Arabidopsis thaliana: one gene and its partners. The protein of the gene in region 1 interacts with the protein of each later gene in a pairwise test. Each region holds a gene or a part of one and is shown in the gene's direction. Other genes may lie near its edges. The genes, in order: BTI2, ERD2, AT1G76520 and KCS1.

Region 1 (4,579 bases):
TCATGCCCCTGAAGCTGGAAAAAGCGGACTTCTCAGAGCAGATGTACCAAACCAAAGAAGGTGCATAAAATTCTTTAAAATTCAATATATTATTCTCAGAATGTGAATTTTGATACTCTCTCTTGTAATATAGTTTTCCAGAGCTGTTGATAGATGGACCTTATGGCGCTCCAGCGCAAGACCATTGGAAGTATGATGTGGTATTACTGGTTGGCCTTGGAATCGGCGCAACACCTTTCGTTAGCATTTTGAGAGATCTACTCAATAACATTATTAAGCAACAGGAACAAGCTGTGAGTATAACAAGCTTAAAAACCTTGTTGATGAGTAACAGAATCTCAACTAAACTTTTTTGGAGTTATGTTATATTCTCAGGAATGCATCTCAGGTAGTTGTAGTAACAGCAACATCTCGTCGGATCACAGTTTCAGTTGCTTAAACTCAGAAGCTGCGAGTCGGATTCCGCAAACTCAACGGAAGACGCTGAATACCAAGAATGCTTACTTTTACTGGGTAACACGAGAACAAGGCTCGTTCGATTGGTTCAAAGAAATCATGAACGAGATTGCTGATTCAGATAGAAAGGTAAAAACAATACACTTATTCATTTTAAATTCAAAAGATTGTATGATTTCAAGTTACTCACTGACGTATTTGTCTTGTGAACAACTACAAGGGTGTTATTGAGATGCACAACTACTTGACTAGCGTCTACGAAGAAGGAGATACTCGATCCAATCTTCTCACTATGATCCAAACGTTAAACCATGCCAAAAATGGCGTCGACATTTTTTCAGGAACCAAGGTAATGATCTTTAATGATTAGTTGATTACTTTATCACAAACAACACTCTTTTCTGATCTTGTATAACAACTTTTGGTTATTTTAGGTAAGGACACATTTTGGGAGGCCAAAATGGAAGAAAGTTTTATCAAAGATTAGCACCAAACATAGGAACGCAAGAATTGGTAACACACAGAAACATCAGTTCACTGAAATGATATTCGATATCGCGGTGTATATTTGCCTTGTCTGAAGAATGTTTTTTTGTTTGTTACAGGAGTGTTCTATTGTGGAGTTCCAAGTTTGGGGAAGGAACTTTCAACACTCTGCCATGAATTTAACCAGACGGGAATTACCAGGTTCGATTTCCACAAAGAACAGTTCTAACTGGTAAAAGGATTAATCCCCCACGATTATGGTTTTTTGAATGAATGAATCAATGTTCATGTTCGTTCTCGTATCCTACTTGTTGTGTTTTCTTTTCGTTTTGTGTATCACAAATACCAACTTTTAACCATTTCATCTAGAGTAGGACTGTTAAAAAATGTAAAAAGTCACAGTTAAAGCTTGTGAAGAAAAAAAGAGTGTAAAGGAGTAAAAATGAGAAATTCAAACAAAGGGGGATGATGGGATCATTGGGATGATTGGTTCTGTCTGTTCAATTGTTTTCAAATTTGAGCACTTATTATTGGGCCTGTCTTTGAGCTCTCTTATTATTATGGGCCGATAACTAGTTTGGCCCATTTGGTTATCAACTTGAAAATGAATGAAGAAAGCTGGGGAAAAGGGTCTTTTTAAACCCGAACTGACTCAAAAGCCTCAAAAATTTCACTGTTCCTTGGTTCTTGACCGGTTTAGAATCATGGTTTCGGTTTTGAATCATATTTGCTTTCTTGGACATGAGAAAGTAACTGGGCTTCATCATTGTTTTAGCTCATTGGGCCCATATTACGACTCGAGCTAACGCTGTCAAGTTAAATGCTTTTTCACTTTCTAGAGCATTCTTTTTTAAACACTTCTTTTAACCAAGAGACGGTTCCTACTTCTCTAATATTTTTATTTTCTAGTTTTTTGGCCAGCAGCAAAATATTATTTTAATTTAGTGTCAAGATAATTAAATTATCATTGTCTTTTGAATGCAGACCGAAAGTACATGAGTCACATAAGCAAGCGGCTACGATTCAACCACGTGTCACATGACCACCGGTTCGACCGTTTCTTTGTCCAGCCGCGTGACACCTGAACCAGAAAAGTTTAATAGCCATTTTAATAACAGAGCCGTTAATTACACGTGACTTAAAAAGCCGTTATCCTTAACAGCGTTAACATCTCGGTCCTGTGAAAACACTTTTTATATGTCCCCACGACATTTATCTTTTCCTAAGCATCGCTCTAGTTAAGGAAGCAGCAGGTTTGGATCCGAACCAACCAACGGATCAGATCAGAAACAAAATATTCAACGGCTCAGATTTATTCTAATTTTCCTCCTTTTATTGTTGGTTTTTTCATTCGACTTCGAGATCTTTCTTCTCAGAGGTGTAACGAAAACGCTAGAACAATAACTTTGATCGTTCTTCTTCTTCTCTTGAATCGGAAACAATGGCGGATGAACATAAGCATGAAGAATCTTCACCTAATTTGGATCCAGCAGTGGAGGTTGTAGAGAGGGAATCGTTGATGGAGAAGTTATCGGAGAAGATCCATCACAAAGGTGATTCGTCGTCTTCATCATCATCAGATGACGAAAACGAGAAGAAGTCTTCGTCATCGTCTCCAAAGTCTTTGAAATCGAAGGTTTATCGTTTGTTCGGAAGAGAGAGACCTGTTCATAAGGTTCTCGGCGGCGGAAAACGTATGTTTACTCTGATCCCGTTTCGATATTTGTTCTCAGTTTTTTAAAACGAATTCGTTTGCGTTGGCTTGATCTGTTTGATTTTCTCACTAGTTTAAGGGATCCGTGAAGAAGATCGTTTGAATCTACATAGAGGTTTACATTGATTTGAATTCGATTTCGATTTTGATTTCTGACTAGTTTGAGAGAATTTGTGATGGAATTGATTTTTTTTTTTTTGGAAATGTGTATAATGATCTTGTGAGATTCTTGTAGTTATTGATGATATGGTTCTTATTTCGTGATTGATAAACCCTAATTTGGTGATCTTTTTAATTGCAGCGGCAGATATATTTATGTGGAAGGACAAGAAAATGTCAGGAGGTGTATTTGGCGGTGCTACAGTGGCATGGGTGCTATTTGAATTGATGGAGTATCATCTTCTTACTCTGTTATGTCACGTTATGATCGTTGCTCTTGCTGTGTTGTTTCTATGGTCTAATGCCACTATGTTCATTCACAAGTAAGTTTTGTGGTCAATCATATGAAACAGGTCAAGGTTGTCAAGCTTATTTGACTCATCTTCGTTACCAAATTTTCATTCTCTTTCAGGTCTCCACCAAAGATTCCTGAAGTTCATATCCCTGAAGAACCTCTTCTTCAGCTTGCTTCGGGTCTTAGAATCGAAATCAACCGTGGGATCTCTTCTCTTCGTGAGATTGCGTCGGGGAGGGATATCAAGAAGTTCCTCTCTGTATGTTTAAACTGTCCTGGACTTACTCGTTACTCCTCTCTCGATGTCTCACTTAAGTTTGACACTTATTGTACTGTTTGATTGAATTAGGCTATTGCCGGATTGTGGGTTCTATCGATCTTGGGCGGCTGCTATAGTTTCTTGACATTGGCATACATAGGTAACACTTACTGTTGCTAAAAGTATTTTGCTTCTGCCTTCTCTCTTATTCTGACATTGCTGATGAACGGTTATTGATTTGGTCCAGCTCTGGTTCTGCTCTTCACTGTTCCTCTTTTCTACGACAAGTACGAAGACAAAGTAGACTCATACGGTGAGAAAGCAATGGCTGAGTTGAAGAAGCAATACGCTGTGTTGGACGCAAAGGTATTCAGCAAAATCCCAAGAGGACCGTTGAAAGACAAGAAGAAGGATTAGTTTTTTTTGGGGTTTTTGTTTTGTGTGGGTTTTCTTTGGAGTGCAATGTGCACAATGCTCTGGTTTTTATACACGTGGGTTGTGTTGTGTTGTGAATTGGTAATCTAAAAGGTTATGTGTTAGATCTCAACCCAAATTTTACTTGACAACTTTGCTTTGTTTTTGGAGTGGTTTGTGGCATTAGCACAATGATTGTAGTCGTTCTCTTGATCTATATTTTTAATGTACTGATTGATTTCTGTGTTTCTAATATGGTACGTTACTCAAATATCGTTTTTTCTCGATTATATATTTGTAGTATGTCTTGATATCAAACAAGTCAGGATGGCCGAGTGGTCTAAGGCGCCAGACTCAAGTTCTGGTCCTCGTAAGAGGGCGTGGGTTCAAACCCCACTTCTGACAATTTAGATTTTTATTTTCTCTGAGCTCATTTTTTAAGTGTTTGTTACTTTATTTGTCCAAAAAATAAAAATATAACATGTTTGTATATTTACTGGTTATATATATGTAATAAGTATGAATATTAACAAATGTCAGTATGGCCGAGTGGTCTAAGGCGCCAGACTTAAGTTCTGGTCCTCTTACGAGGGCGTGGGTTCAAACCCCACTGCTGACAATTTATATTTTTGTTAATTTTAAATTATAATTACCTTCTTTTTTCTTTCCTTTATACTATGTTTTCTCATTTAACCATGTTTTTGTTTTTTCTTAAACGGTCTTATGTTTCTCAGGTAACAATCAGCTAAATAAGTAACTAGTTAAAAGTTAAAACGCTTAAGATCAATTTGTATCA
Region 2 (5,448 bases), on another chromosome or scaffold:
TTACGGTGTTGGTTCTATTTTGTTTTTCTTATTGCCATTTTTTCGATTATTAGTGTTTTGTATGTTAAACTTGCCGATTGTTCCAATTACTATAATATAACAAAAACAAGTTTTAGCTATCGATTTTTCCAAAGTTTTACAACGAAGTTTTTATAAGTTAACATGAAGTAATAATAGTATATGTTTTAAAATTATACGTTTTTTTGTATGAAATTAAATGTTACATTACACTATTAAAGATTCCAATAATTAAAACACATGTTACAATGAGTAAATTTTATTATCAGACAATAAACATCTCTTTGCTCTAAGAAGAAACCTATGCTAGTGAAGCGTTGACTCTGGAAAGATGCAAGTGCAACGTGTCGCTGAAACATTGAAGGCGCGTGTAGAAAAATGTTAAGCTAAAGGGAAGTTCACTTTCTTTAACCAAGTTTTGCGTTTTGCAAATTACAACTAAAGAATCCACTAAAGCTAACCCAACTAAATTCAAACATTTTTCTATGTGATCAGTTTACCATCAAACTATTTCATATTTTTGCAATGTGTAGTAAAAACTTTCTTTGTTACATTATATGCTTCTTTTATAAGCAAAAATACCATATTACATTACATGTTCATTTCATTTTTGTTTGGTATTTGCGCTTACAATTTACAAAATGATTTTGTTTGATACTATTTACATTTACATGTGAAATTATTGTGTTCATCGTAAAACGTTCAAAATTTCTAAAAATTGTAAGAAATTATTGTAAATGTAAACAAAGTCGGTTTCCTATAAAACCACACGTCTGAACCACCTTAATCATCATCACAACATGAAATTACAAAAGCAGCGACTTTGTCGATTGCCGTAGTTTCATTGTAGCATAGATAATCCCGTCACGTGATGTTATCTATTTTTAACTGTTTCAATGTAGTCAGAAAAGCTATTTGTTTGATTTCAGAACTGTTTGATTAGTGGCCATTGAAAAATTCTATAATCTATAGTCAATAGTCTATACACAATTGAAAATGGTATAGTTGATTTTTTAAAATACGCCATTAAATAAAATTATATATAGAACTTCTCTATAATCGATAAAGTCGAACACTCCAGGCAACAAGCGGACCGACCACGGAGTCTAACGTAAGAGTATTATTAGTGATACTGTAGGTTTTCTTTGACTAACGATAAAGAAAAAACAAACATGTTTAATTTCTCGTGTCCTCTATATTCATGAGTCATGACGTTCATACAATTTATTCTTGTTTTAAATGACGTTCATACATCATTTTCATGGTTGTCTATTAGTTCACTAGAAAAACGAAGTCTTGAACGTTGAAGCGAAGCATTGAATATCATTTTATAATTTTATGGACTAAACTATACATTTCAATCATCTTTGCAAAAAAGAAAAAAAAAAATGAGTTAGATCATAAGGAGTCAGGACAACAGCTAGCACAAAAATCTCAAAATCCTATACTGTTTAACCCAAAACAACCGTAGAACAAATATTATTATACACCCAAAAAAAAAAACATATTTGCAATCACATTAGTTTGTAAACACTTCTATTTCGTTCCATAACCAAAAAAAAAAAAAAAAAAAAATCAACATTCAATTTTTTATTTTAAAACATGTTTGCATATGTTCATGGTATGACATTGGGTATTAATCTATCACAGAGAGCTAAAGCCCATATAAATAATAACAGAAGGCCCATATCTATTAATAACCAACTCTTAACCGGTCCATTCTAACTGTTTTTCTCAAATACAAAACACGTGGATAACACGAGGAATTAAAATTGAAGTTAAACACCACACCATGTCGCGTACGAAGCTGCCACATCACTGTTCTATTAACACGTGGCTTAATATGATGCAATATAGACCCACCGATAGCTGGCGCTTTCTAGTTTACCAAGGTGCGACGTACCAGATAACACCACCTCTCCACTTTTGAAAATTAAAACGCTCTCTTTTGGTAATTATTTAGGGAAACTTCGATAATTAATCGAATAATGAAGGACTAATTTGCAGTTTTAAGGAAATAAGTAAGCACACACGTTAGAGAAGAAAGACCGTTCCAGATTGCCACGTCATCGTCTCCTCTCAACGAGTTTCTGCAAAACCTGAAACGTGCTGCACCTTGCCTCTCTTTCTCTCTCTTCCTTCGTTTCTCTCTCGATTTGAAGAGAGAAAATTCGTTCGATTTCGTTTTCTCTTCTTCTTTTGGATTTTCCCGGAAAATTTTGGAATCGGTGAGTCTCTATCGATTACTGGTCAACCATGAATATCTTTAGATTTGCTGGCGATATGAGTCACTTGATCAGTGTCTTAATCCTTCTTCTCAAAATCTACGCGACGAAATCTTGCGCTGGTGAGTTCTCTCTCTCTCTCTCTCTTTCATGAAATGTGTTGTGTATATTTTGAAGACGAGCTCGTAGACGAAACAATCGCATTTTGCTTTGACCTTTTGTTTTCCTTTCCATAGCTTTCAAATGCAATCTTATTTGAATCCTGTTGAGGTCTATTTATCGATTTCGAGGCGAATCCGAGTTGGTAGATTGAAATTGCAAGTCAAAATAGTTGTGAAATCTCAATCTTCGAAACCACTATGGAATTTCTAAACGAGTGAGATCTCTCACCCCTAAATTGCATTAGGTTTAACGGAAAATTGCTACACGGAATGGAAAATGCTTGTAGATGCTCATGATTTTCTCATAGATTGTGCAGCTCCTAACATTGTTGCTGTTGACTTTTGGATTTTGTTGGCTAGGAATCTCTCTCAAGACTCAAGAGCTCTATGCGCTTGTGTTCTTGACTCGGTACTTGGATCTGTTTACGGATTATGTATCTCTGTACAACAGCATCATGAAGATTGTCTTCATTGCCAGCTCTTTGGCTATCGTTTGGTGTATGCGTAGGCATCCACTTGTGAGGAGGTCATACGATAAGGACCTGGACACATTTCGTCATCAGTATGTTGTGTTAGCGTGTTTTGTACTGGGACTTATCCTGAATGAAAAATTCACAGTTCAAGAGGTATTTTCATATGAATTTCACATTGCTTTTGTGTTTTTAGGTTGTAGAGACTAGGAAAGCGAATACTTGTTGTTAGAAGACATGCATATGTTGTGTAATCTTGTTTTTGGTTTATTTATTCATTTGATTCATTCGGTTCCTTCTTCTTATATCATTTGGATTTGGTAACTATCTTGGCTAGTGTAGAATAGAATATCGTCTATGTAAATGAAACTGAACATAACTCCTTCCAGAACCAATTAGGAGTCCGGCGTTTATAGTTTTATTTTTGCTTGTTTAAACGTTGTACTACCTATGTAGCCTCTCACTCGCTGATTGTTTTGAGAAACTCTTTGAATATCAAACTGTTGCATCGTGAAAGGTTTGTTTGCTTCCATTCATGGAATCTTCTGTGTCCTACCTACCTATGTTCCATAAGGTGCCCCATGGATTAGTGTCATCTGTATCTCGCTGTTACTTTTCTGGCCATTGTGTTCTTTGATTATCTTGTCATAAGAAACTGTAGTGACTCCTTATATGCACTTCACTAAGATCGTTTTCCCTTACTACCTTCATATGTATTTTTCCAGTATATGCTCTTGGTAAAGATCTGATCTTTGCAAACTGCCTTCACTCTTTAAGTATTTTTGCAGCATTGTGGCCTCTCTGTGTTGATAGCCAGAATCATTGTGCAATATGTTAATTCTGTGCATTCCAAACCATTTCAGGTGTTCTGGGCGTTTTCTATCTACTTAGAGGCAGTTGCTATCCTTCCCCAGTTGGTTCTGCTACAAAGAAGTGGGAATGTCGACAATTTGACTGGGCAATATGTTGTCTTTCTCGGGTACGTAATTCTAACCAGACATATGCGTTTGCTCACTTGATCTCCACTGGCTTCTCTGTTGGGTTTGTTTTTAGAATTGGTTTATCTTATATATATACTGTGTCTTTCACTGCTCATGCACTTGTTAACTTGATCAATGAGAATCGCTCTCCAGTGTCATTGTGGTGTTTAAAAATCAGTGCATATTTCTAAAGTCCAGACATTGTTTTCCGTTTAATGTTAATGCGTCTGGAAGCTGAGCTGAACTATATTTTTTTCTATAAAGGAAATCAGACTGCTTTACATCTTGCTATGCATTTGGTTCTGATGCATACCTTTGTGTCCAGTGCACAATATTTCAATGTGCAAAATTGAGTAAGTATTCTGTATGCACTCACATGGGCAATGATTAACATGCAGGGCGTATCGGGGACTCTATATTATCAACTGGATCTATCGCTATTTCACAGAAGATCATTTCACTAGATGGATTGGTAATGTTTCAACAAAGAAGCACTAAATGCATTTTAACCATTTGTTTTTCCTCAATGCTAATGTTTTACGTAAATCCATTTTCCAGCTTGTGTGTCTGGTCTTGTCCAAACAGCTCTCTATGCGGATTTCTTCTACTACTACTACATAAGGTAAAGTAACCTCACCAGTCTGAATAATATTCTCTTTATAGTTACTGATCATGTTACTGACTTTGGATCCTTTTTGATTTTGTTGTAGCTGGAAAACCAACACCAAACTTAAGCTTCCGGCTTGAAAAGAACCCGAATTTTTTTGCAATAGTATCAAAATCCAGGAAGTTACAGCAATGGTGACATTAGAAAAGAAAGACATGGTTAACATTTGGGTCCTCCCTCTTTCTAACAATGAGTTGAAAATTGAATGATGCAGGATTGTTGTTTAAAATGTGTTTTTTTTTTAGTCTTTAATGCACATTGTAACTTTCCCGACGATTTTAGACATTGAGAAGAGGCATCGTTTTATCAAAACTAGTCTTTATAGATAACACACAAACTCTGTTTCTTTTGTGCGAGTGTTTAGTTCAAAACTGTAGCTCAGATCAGAGCCAAGTTAACAATGTGTCTTCAAAACTTAAACCTAGTCTTCTTGATTGTGTTTCACTATCTTGGTCTTCTTCTTGTGCTCTCGTGTCTTCTTGCTTCTTAGCTCGTCTTTCTCTTCACCTTCAGAGACTTTTTCTCTACTGCGTTTCTCTTTCTTTGACTTTTTTGTTTTGACCGGAGCCTTCTCAATCTCGTCTTCATTCTCCTCATCGTCTTCACCCTCAAAGACTATTTCTCTACTGCGTTTCTCTTTCTTTGACTTCTTTCTTTTCACAGGAGCCTTCTCTGTTTCATCATCTTCCTGGTCCATGATCGTCATCTTCTCCTCTGTGGCAGCCTCAGCCACTGTGTTTGCTACAGCTGTCTCTGCTTCAACCATGAATCCAATCATTTTACAAACATACTAACAGAGGAATACAAACATAGATGCGATTTGTGAACGGCATTAGAAAACAAACAAACCTTCTCCAGAAAAGCCCGAGTCGAATACAAGACCTGTAAGATGCTGCTTCAAGAAAACCTGCAATAAAACAATGATAT
Region 3 (5,274 bases), on another chromosome or scaffold:
AACGTAGGTTTCTGCTTGTCTCGATTGTTGTTGTGTTTTTATTTGTTACTAAAGATAGAGAAAGAAATATCGAAGCATTGTGCGTTCATGTTCAATATAGAGTTTTTGTTGTACCAAAAAAATATAGTGTTTGAATCTTTAATTATAGACTAGCTAGCATATAATTAACGTGATTAACTTTACAATTATGGTGATGATGATTTTCTCAGTATGTAGGTATAGTACTTGTCAAAGTGACAAATAATTGCAATTTAATGAATTGGTGTGGATCCAAAGGATAACAAATAGTATGAGCATATTCATTCGAAGCAAAATGGTACAGAATTAAGCAAAGCTTTTTGTCCAAAATTCTAATGAATTAAGGACCATTATTTTTAGGGAATAATAGTCTTTGATGCCCCACATTTCCAATAGTACAAATCAAGATTTTCAATATATGTCAAGTTTGTTATTTTCATTCACGGACATTAAAACGAGTGGAGCATTTCAATTTGACATATCTTTGTCCTTTTCTTTTTGTTACAGATATCTTTTGTTCACGTTCTTTGAATCATCATATTCATAGCTATGAGATCATAGAAATATCAAATACTGTTAATTAACCTCTTTAAAAATACATATTCACAAGTCTCTTGTGTGAGTAGAAATCCTATACAAACAAGTTTATTCATGCTCTAATAAGATAGATAAATAAGAAGATAGCTCATGACATGGCCTTCATTAGGCTTGTTGCATATACAATAAGCTTACATATAAGGAATTAAGGATGGTCTAATATCTCTTGCTTCACATGAGAAGAGTTATAGGATTCGAGTCACATAAGAGATTTTTATTGTAGTGTGTATAATATATCCCACTTCTACAATTATCCAGTCTATTGTGTATTTTTCATTAATAAATCACTAAAATTTGCACTTTGACAATATATACTTAAATATTTGTATCTCGTATATATATATATACATATTTTTAGCACTGTATGATAATTCTAATTATTCGCTAATTGTTTTTTTTTGGTAAGAATTAGTCGACTATTTTGATATTGGGGTTGTTACATTTATATCTTGCATTGAATTTTATGGACGGACACTGGTCGCAGCCTCACACACTAATTTGAATTTTCCGTTATCATTAATATTCGATCGTTTCGTTGGTACGCTTCCATCACACAATTAATTTAAGCCACCACACTATTATCTTATTCTCATTCAGTTTTGTTTCCATTTCAAATTTCTTACGACGCATATGAAAATGTACATTTTTATAACAATTCCCCTTAAAAATAGATGACAAAAAGAAAAATGTTTTTTTTAAAAAAATATATAAAATAAAATAAATAATAAATCTTCAACAATCGATGAACACTTTGCAATATCTCCACACCTTGGGCAAGAACCAGAAAAAAACATGGGGCACGTTTCGTAGTCGATGTGACGAAAGGCATGACGACGGTTACCATATAAATTCGTCTTCTCAGATAAAGCCTTATTATTCTCAATAGTGTTATACGACAATATACGAAACAAACAAAGACCCCGCTTGAGTTGAGTTTTCCAAAAATTGTGGAACTGTTTCCTCTTTCTTTTTGTACATAAACTAGGTTACAAAAAATTGGAAAATATACAAAATCAAAGGACATAAACTTACGAGATATATCATAACTCATAAGTTGTGAAAGTTGGAATTCAAAAAGGAGCTAACTATGAATCTATGATACGTTATTTTGTTGCTTATACGGAACAAAACAATTCCAAAAACAAAGAAGATGTAAAAGTCTGACCCGGATCATGCGGACACCAAGTTGTACATACAAAATATGTAGGATGAAAATATGAAATTCTCTTCCCATATGCATAGAATAATAATTTACCTTAGTTAAAAAGATTAGTTTCTAAGTTTGCCCCAAATAAAGAGATTAGTTTCTTGAAAAAAGCATTTTGTGGATAGACAAGAATTTAAATAGAATGAAGAGGCGACCATGCAAGTGTTGTACTAGGCCAAATTTTGGAGACGCTCTTTCTCTTTCATAGAGAGAGAGTGAGAAAGTTCTGATACGGCGGCTTCTCACTGTCATCTAGCTGTACCACTGACGATAAATCTCTCTCTTCCTCTAAATCGGTTAAAAAATTCATTCCCTTCTTGGATTGCTCTGTTTTCTTCGGCGGTTCTTGCAGCTCCATTGATTCTCTGTTTCCTCTGCTACAGTTAACTTATACTTGCAGATTCTCGCGTTGATAGTAAAAAGATGGTGAAGCTTTTGGAGCTGTTCATAACTTCATCAAAACCAGTCGTTGAGATTCTGTTGATAACATCAGTCGGATTTTATATGGCTCTCGATGGAGTCAATCTTCTTGGTCATGATGCTCGTAAATATCTGAACAACGTCAGTTAATTATCACTTAATTTTACTCTTTTCTTTAATAAATCTAAATGATTCAACTTTAATATGTCTCTGTTTTGTTATCATTTTCTTGATGTGTGTGTATATAGATTGTCTTCTATGTGTTTAGTCCTTCGCTTATTGGAAGCCGTTTAGCTGATAGTGTTACATACGAAAGCTTGGTCAAAATGTAAGTCAATCTCAGATTTTGCATCTTGAGTCTGTAATCTTTGCTCTTTGGTTAATGAAAATGAGGATTTGCAGGTGGTTCATGCCGGTGAATGTTCTGCTTACATTCATCATTGGTTCATTACTTGGCTGGATTGTTATTGTCATCACTAAGCCTCCTTCACACCTTCGTGGTCTCATTCTTGGTTGTTGTGCTGCTGGTAACAAACCTTAACATGAATGTTTCTGATTTCAGAATCTGTTTAACTTGTGTTTTGCTTATGACTGTGGTAATGAATGAAACAAAACAGGGAATTTGGGGAATATGCCACTGATTATAATCCCAGCTGTTTGTAAAGAAAAAGGAGGTCCCTTTGGAGATCCTGAGAGTTGCCAGAAATATGGAATGGGTTATGTTGCTCTCTCCATGGCTGTAAGTTCTTCTTCTTCTTCTTCTTTGTCTTCTTCTTCTTCAAGGTTTTGTAATCAGTATGTCTCATGACAGTACTTGGTAACGTATCAGATGGGATCTATTTACATATGGACTTATGTATACAATCTTATGCGTGTGCTATCGAACTCTCCCGTTGAAACCCCTCCCTCTGTTGAATCCAACTACGACAGCTACAAAGTTCCCCTTATTTCTTCCAAGGAAGAAGAAAACAACCAAAAGGTTTCATCACATATGCACATGATCAGTAACTATTCATTTATCAAAGTTGGTAGTGACTGTGTGTATATGACAGGCTGGGAGGTGGGAAAAAGTCAAGCGGAGATTGGTTTCACTGTCACAAAAAGTCAACCTTAAGACAATTTTTGCTCCATCAACTATTGCTGCGGTTTGTGTTTCAATGGCTCTGTTTTATACATTTGAGACGTCACTCACACTAGTGTAATCTTTCTAATTACCCTTTTTGTTCTTCTGTTTCCAGATGATTGCACTTGTGATCGGGCTCATTACTCCTTTAAGGAAGCTAATAATCGGCACGGAAGCTCCTCTCCGGGTGCTTCAAGACTCAGTAACTCTAGTGGGGTAACTGCAGCTAAAATTAGACCATTATCTTAGCATTAGCTCAACAATGAATCATCTCTTGGAAAAACGTAACTCACTCATTCGAAAGCTTCTTATGTGTCTTGTTTCTTTTGGCTGAAGAGATGGGGCAGTTCCTGCAATGACCATGATTATAGGAGGAAACCTACTCAAAGGTTTGAGGAGTTCAGGAATGAAAATGTCCAGTATTATCGGCGTCTTGGTTGCGCGTTACGTTTTACTGCCTATGAGCGGTGTTTTAATCGTAAGAGGAGCATATAAGTTGGATTTAGTTACATCAGAGCCCTTATACCAATTCGTTCTTCTTCTTCAATATGCTGTCCCACCAGCCATGAATCTAGGTTCATTGCTCTGAAACCAACTCTTTAAAAAATACAGTTACTTCTTTCAGATAAGATCACTTCATTAGTTTCACTTACTCTTGCAGGTACAATTACTCAGTTATTTGGAACTGGGGAGAGTGAATGCTCAGTGATTATGCTCTGGACTTACTCTTTGGCTTCGATTGCACTCACTGTTTGGCCAACATTCTTCATGTGGCTTGTAGCTTAGAATAGACCCCCATACTCATCATGTTACATGTATTGTTTTGTTCCATTGATTCAAGAATTGTTCTTGGACTTCCAGATGATTGGATCAAGTATAATAGAGAACATATACTTATAAGTCTTTTGATACGAACTTTGGACTTACAGTCTGTAACTTACAGATAGAAGATCAAGTCCAGCCTCATCAAGAATCTGCTATTTTGATCCTCATTGTCTTGGGATCCATCAAGAGATTGTGAGGCTTAAAATCTCTGTTATGATACCCAAATCATTCTCTCTTGAAACAGGGTAAAACCAGAGAACAATCTACTTGACTACTTGTGACTGTGGCCATGGCAGAAAGCTATTCCTTTGTTTAGTTTGGTACACCTGAGAAAAATTTCAGATTGTTACATTTGGTTTAATAGACTATTACATATCAGTCAAGTGAGTACAAATGATGAGAGAAAAGAGTGGTGACAAAAAGCTCTAATTGGTGGATTTTGTGATAAATTTCTTTACATCTGTGTCCATGTATCTCAAACCTAATCGTACTCTAAGATCAATTAATGTCTCATCACGTCATATTTGAGATTTTGATGTATAACCTTCCACATCAGGGCTAAAGTGCATGCTAGACTCCAAGATATACTATATGTAATATATAAATTTGTAGCTAGTGAAACTGTGGAAAAACAAAAATTATAGTACTGAAACATTTTAGTTTATGAAACGATTCTTCAGAAAATAGATGACAACAACAGAAGTTTTTTTAAAATCAACGTTATTGTTCTTTACCATACGGTAAACACAATGCGACATATCCACATCTTCAGCAAGAACCACAAAGTAACATGGCACGTTTCCTAGTCGCTGTGACTAAAGGCATGACGATGGTTCCCTTATAATTTGTATTCTTTTTTTCTCAGATAAAGAGTTGGTGGTTATGATACGTTGGTTTTTTCATACGGAACAAAAATAATACTTACTCTATATCTCTCCTTCACTCTTCCTCTAAAAAGGTAACTATACCATTTCATTTGATTTCTCCATAAGTTATCGTCGTTTGGTTCATTGTTTCTTTATCTCAAATCATGTAATATATGGATTAAGTTTGCAGATTCTAACTTTTGGAAGTAGAGATGAAG
Region 4 (4,588 bases), on another chromosome or scaffold:
ATTTATTCAAAACAAATGACTACGATTTGGCAACAGAAACAATTGACAGAATTTATTTATCTGGTGATATGATGATATTGACATTTTCAATATCGAATTCGTAGTTGGATTCGGATTAATCGTGACCAAATATTTATAATTCCATATATTAGCATTAATCTTTCTTATTCGAGATTAAGAAAAAATTCGAGTAATTAAAAAAAAAAATTGTTTGAAAAACCATTAAAATCAATAATATTGTATTATATACAGTTATATACTGAAATTCAAATACAAGACCACGACAAAATGTTTACTCTAATGTTTCAATTTAATGAATCATTCGGTATTTTGAAGCATGTTAGAGCCTGGTAGTACTGTGCATGTTATACAGCCAATATCAACCTTTTTCGCTAGTTTTATGTAAGGCTATATCGTTTATTTATGTAGCAACCATTTAAATTGTTAGTCCTTTTTAAAATTATTGCAAGATGTGAGTGTGTACATTCATACATTGATGACGGACTGGTTTCTAGTTAGTTGGTATTAAGCCGACCAACATTAATTGTTGGTTTATGTCTACACATGGGTACTAGTCTACCATTTATTATCATCATTATTTCATTTATCTTGCAAATTAATACTTTGATCTGTTTATTGATTAATTCTCTCTATTGTTCATTATGCTGTACATAAACCTAAATATATGAATTATTAGCATCTGATGAACTGGATCTTTCCAATATTGAAGTTTGAGAGTTGGTATGCGTACTGTTGAAACATGTGTTTCATGCAGTAATCACGATATTATGGAAACGACGTCGCTGCCTTTTGTCTTTGTTTTCTTTTTCTCTATTATTTCCCAGTAATCACGATATTAGAAATGATTTAACTATTAAAAGCATTACATTTTACCAACAACTTTATCCCAATGAAAACAAAACAGGGACAATAAGTCCACTTTGGGACCTCAAATCCGAACATTTTATTTACCTACAAAGCTACAAGCTACAACTACCCGTCCGAGGTCTATTTTGGACACCTTGGCACAATCAATATGAAATAACTAGAAAAATACTCGAAAACTAACTAGATATGCAACTCCAAAACTAATTACTTCTTTATCAGATTTATAATATGAAATAAATTCATTATGTAAAGGGTCCCTTATATAACAAACGTCTTAACGAAGACAGCAAATTTATAAATGACAATGACTACAATACTGGAACAGCTAATAGGGATGGTATATAATGGAGAAACAAATCGAAATGTGCTGCTATTAAGAAGTCATAGTAATTCATTATCATCAATTTACCATGGCCCATATTAAGGAGTTTGTATGCATGTGGGATACACATTTATACAAAGAAATAACAAATTTGAATATTTGGGACACGCTTTCGTCTACCCTTGTTCTTGCAATTTGGACAGTGAACGCTTCTCATGAATGAGAGGTACGTTTCTCGAACACGTTCTCCCTTTAAATTTACTATTTACAACATATTATATCAACTTACCCGTCGCTGACCCAGTGCATTTGCACTACGTGCAGCCAACCTGCTTATAATATTCAATTGATATATAATTTTATAACTTGCCCTCACTCAATTTTGGATAACCTACATACACTTGCTAATAAAAACATCATGGATGTCTAAAACGTTTAAGTTTAATTATAAGGAAATATATAACAAACATGTCATATTTTGTTGTGTTGTAGTGGTATAATTAACAAGTTATGTTGTTTATCAAAAACTTCAAAAAAAAAAAAAATTAGGTTACACCAAAATAGAATGTTATGATGCCCAAATATATGTGTGAAAAAAAAGATAAACCAAATTTATGATCTACCATATGACTTATGAGATTCAGCTAGGTTTTGTTAGACTTTTGTAACTTGCATTTCGTGTGAACAAAACATGAAAAATAATCTGACTACTTAATTTAATATCAAGGTCCCATATAAGTAGTTGAGCTAATAGTATTATCTCGGAACCACCCATCATTAAATTCGAATATTATTCCATCTTTTTTTTTTTTTTGTTAAGTCATTACTATTATTAATCTTTAAAATATTTTTATCTTTCTTGCACTCTATATATCTCTCCATCCCTACTTGCCCTCATTTCACCAAAATCCTCCTAATTCACCAATTTTAGAATTCCCATTCTCATTTTCTCTCTCTTTCTATTTCTCCAAATTTGCCTAAAGATTTTACATTTTATCTTCAATCCTTCCTTGATTTACGTTTGAAATATTTCGACCCAAAACTATACTGATGGAGAGAACAAACAGCATTGAGATGGATCGAGAGAGATTAACGGCGGAGATGGCGTTTCGAGATTCATCATCGGCCGTTATAAGAATTCGAAGACGTTTGCCGGATTTATTAACGTCCGTTAAGCTCAAATACGTGAAGCTTGGACTTCACAACTCTTGCAACGTGACCACCATTCTCTTCTTCTTAATTATTCTTCCTTTAACCGGAACCGTGCTGGTTCAGCTAACCGGTCTAACGTTCGATACGTTCTCTGAGCTTTGGTCTAACCAGGCGGTTCAACTCGACACGGCGACGAGACTTACCTGCTTGGTTTTCCTCTCCTTCGTTTTGACCCTCTACGTGGCTAACCGGTCTAAACCGGTTTACCTAGTGGATTTCTCCTGCTACAAACCGGAAGACGAGCGTAAAATATCAGTAGATTCGTTCTTGACGATGACTGAGGAAAATGGATCATTCACCGATGACACGGTTCAGTTCCAGCAAAGAATCTCGAACCGGGCCGGTTTGGGAGACGAGACGTATCTGCCACGTGGCATAACTTCAACGCCCCCGAAGCTAAATATGTCAGAGGCACGTGCCGAAGCTGAAGCCGTTATGTTTGGAGCCTTAGATTCCCTCTTCGAGAAAACCGGAATTAAACCGGCCGAAGTCGGAATCTTGATAGTAAACTGCAGCTTATTCAATCCGACGCCGTCTCTATCAGCGATGATCGTGAACCATTACAAGATGAGAGAAGACATCAAAAGTTACAACCTCGGAGGAATGGGTTGCTCCGCCGGATTAATCTCAATCGATCTCGCTAACAATCTCCTCAAAGCAAACCCTAATTCTTACGCTGTCGTGGTAAGCACGGAAAACATAACCCTAAACTGGTACTTCGGAAATGACCGGTCAATGCTCCTCTGCAACTGCATCTTCCGAATGGGCGGAGCTGCGATTCTCCTCTCTAACCGCCGTCAAGACCGGAAGAAGTCAAAGTACTCGCTGGTCAACGTCGTTCGAACACATAAAGGATCAGACGACAAGAACTACAATTGCGTGTACCAGAAGGAAGACGAGAGAGGAACAATCGGTGTCTCTTTAGCTAGAGAGCTCATGTCTGTCGCCGGAGACGCTCTGAAAACAAACATCACGACTTTAGGACCGATGGTTCTTCCATTGTCAGAGCAGTTGATGTTCTTGATTTCCTTGGTCAAAAGGAAGATGTTCAAGTTAAAAGTTAAACCGTATATTCCGGATTTCAAGCTAGCTTTCGAGCATTTCTGTATTCACGCAGGAGGTAGAGCGGTTCTAGACGAAGTGCAGAAGAATCTTGATCTCAAAGATTGGCACATGGAACCTTCTAGAATGACTTTGCACAGATTTGGTAACACTTCGAGTAGCTCGCTTTGGTATGAGATGGCTTATACCGAAGCTAAGGGTCGGGTTAAAGCTGGTGACCGACTTTGGCAGATTGCGTTTGGATCGGGTTTCAAGTGTAATAGTGCGGTTTGGAAAGCGTTACGACCGGTTTCGACGGAGGAGATGACCGGTAATGCTTGGGCTGGTTCGATTGATCAATATCCGGTTAAAGTTGTGCAATGATTGGTTGAACCGGATAATCATATATGTAATTGTGTTCTTCTTGATTTTATTTTTTAATTGTTGATGTAAGTTGTCGATTGAAAATCATATAATTTAATTAATTTATGGATGTGTGTTTGGTATACGTTAGTTGATTATTCATACTTTTGGTAAACCAGAATTTGAAAATTTAACTCAAGTCAAACAAAATTCTAATCCACTATGTCTGCGTTCACACACATGAATGAATGACACACCCATAAATGATAAAGCAAACCTTGCATACTAACAAATACTATATAGTCTACGCTGGCTCCAATTAATTTATGATATACACCTTTTTATTTTTATTTTTCTGCGAATTTGTGGTGTAGATTTATTCATTCATTCAACAATTTGATTTTTTTTTGGACCAAACGTTATCCACTACTGTTCCATAGGTTTTTATTTTGAATTTTTCATCTTCTGAAGGTTTCACCATTATAAAATGTTATATTTCGACCTCATATTATAAAATGTTTTTTTTCTTCTGGTACCTTTGTAAAAGTAACGAAGAGAGTCAATTAGAGAATCTGTGATGAAAAAAAGTCAATTTAAAGAATAAAAGAATATATACAAACAATTCCATTACAATTTCTCTTGGTTCTTGAAAGTCTTGAACCATAAATTCGGTCAACAACTCGTATAACTATAACCCATATAGGTCGAGTTGGTTGAACCAGCATCTACACATAACTCGTTGGCTGCTGCATGCTGCCAACA

The links.
Region 2: the proteins of BTI2 (region 1) and ERD2 interact in a two-hybrid assay, tested with the Arabidopsis thaliana proteins (one large-scale study listed by BioGRID).
Region 3: the proteins of BTI2 (region 1) and AT1G76520 interact in a two-hybrid assay, tested with the Arabidopsis thaliana proteins (one large-scale study listed by BioGRID).
Region 4: the proteins of BTI2 (region 1) and KCS1 interact in a two-hybrid assay, tested with the Arabidopsis thaliana proteins (one large-scale study listed by BioGRID).

The regions. Positions count from the first base shown.
Region 1 is NC_003075.7:6,837,383-6,841,961, reverse strand, and holds BTI2 (VIRB2-interacting protein 2), read left to right. Parts: upstream 1-1,925; 5' UTR 1,926-2,383; coding exon 2,384-2,636; intron 2,637-2,957; coding exon 2,958-3,138; intron 3,139-3,227; coding exon 3,228-3,369; intron 3,370-3,459; coding exon 3,460-3,529; intron 3,530-3,616; coding exon 3,617-3,786; 3' UTR 3,787-4,051; downstream 4,052-4,579. Other genes in the region: AT4G11230 (Riboflavin synthase-like superfamily protein), read left to right, coding at 1-60, 134-293, 376-585, 677-805, 891-969, 1,062-1,171.
Region 2 is NC_003070.9:10,257,733-10,263,180, reverse strand, and holds ERD2 (ER lumen protein retaining receptor family protein), read left to right. Parts: upstream 1-1,948; 5' UTR 1,949-2,274; coding exon 2,275-2,365; intron 2,366-2,372; exon of another isoform or gene 2,373-2,619; intron 2,620-2,764; coding exon 2,765-3,030; intron 3,031-3,737; coding exon 3,738-3,853; intron 3,854-4,252; coding exon 4,253-4,326; intron 4,327-4,412; coding exon 4,413-4,476; intron 4,477-4,564; coding exon 4,565-4,601; 3' UTR 4,602-4,933; downstream 4,934-5,448. Other genes in the region: AT1G29320 (Transducin/WD40 repeat-like superfamily protein), read right to left, coding at 4,943-5,277, 5,371-5,428. UniProt on the Arabidopsis thaliana protein: Required for the retention of luminal endoplasmic reticulum proteins. Determines the specificity of the luminal ER protein retention system. Also required for normal vesicular traffic through the Golgi. This receptor recognizes H-D-E-L.
Region 3 is NC_003070.9:28,713,139-28,718,412, forward strand, and holds AT1G76520 (Auxin efflux carrier family protein), read left to right. Parts: upstream 1-1,626; 5' UTR 1,627-2,245; coding exon 2,246-2,383; intron 2,384-2,490; coding exon 2,491-2,570; intron 2,571-2,644; coding exon 2,645-2,769; intron 2,770-2,859; coding exon 2,860-2,981; intron 2,982-3,071; coding exon 3,072-3,221; intron 3,222-3,294; coding exon 3,295-3,387; intron 3,388-3,480; coding exon 3,481-3,581; intron 3,582-3,701; coding exon 3,702-3,940; intron 3,941-4,026; coding exon 4,027-4,151; 3' UTR 4,152-4,772; downstream 4,773-5,274. Other genes in the region: AT1G76530 (Auxin efflux carrier family protein), read left to right, coding at 5,269-5,274. UniProt on the Arabidopsis thaliana protein: Involved in cellular auxin homeostasis by regulating auxin metabolism. Regulates intracellular auxin accumulation at the endoplasmic reticulum and thus auxin availability for nuclear auxin signaling.
Region 4 is NC_003070.9:56,651-61,238, reverse strand, and holds KCS1 (3-ketoacyl-CoA synthase 1), read left to right. Parts: upstream 1-2,023; 5' UTR 2,024-2,260; coding exon 2,261-3,847; 3' UTR 3,848-4,075; downstream 4,076-4,588.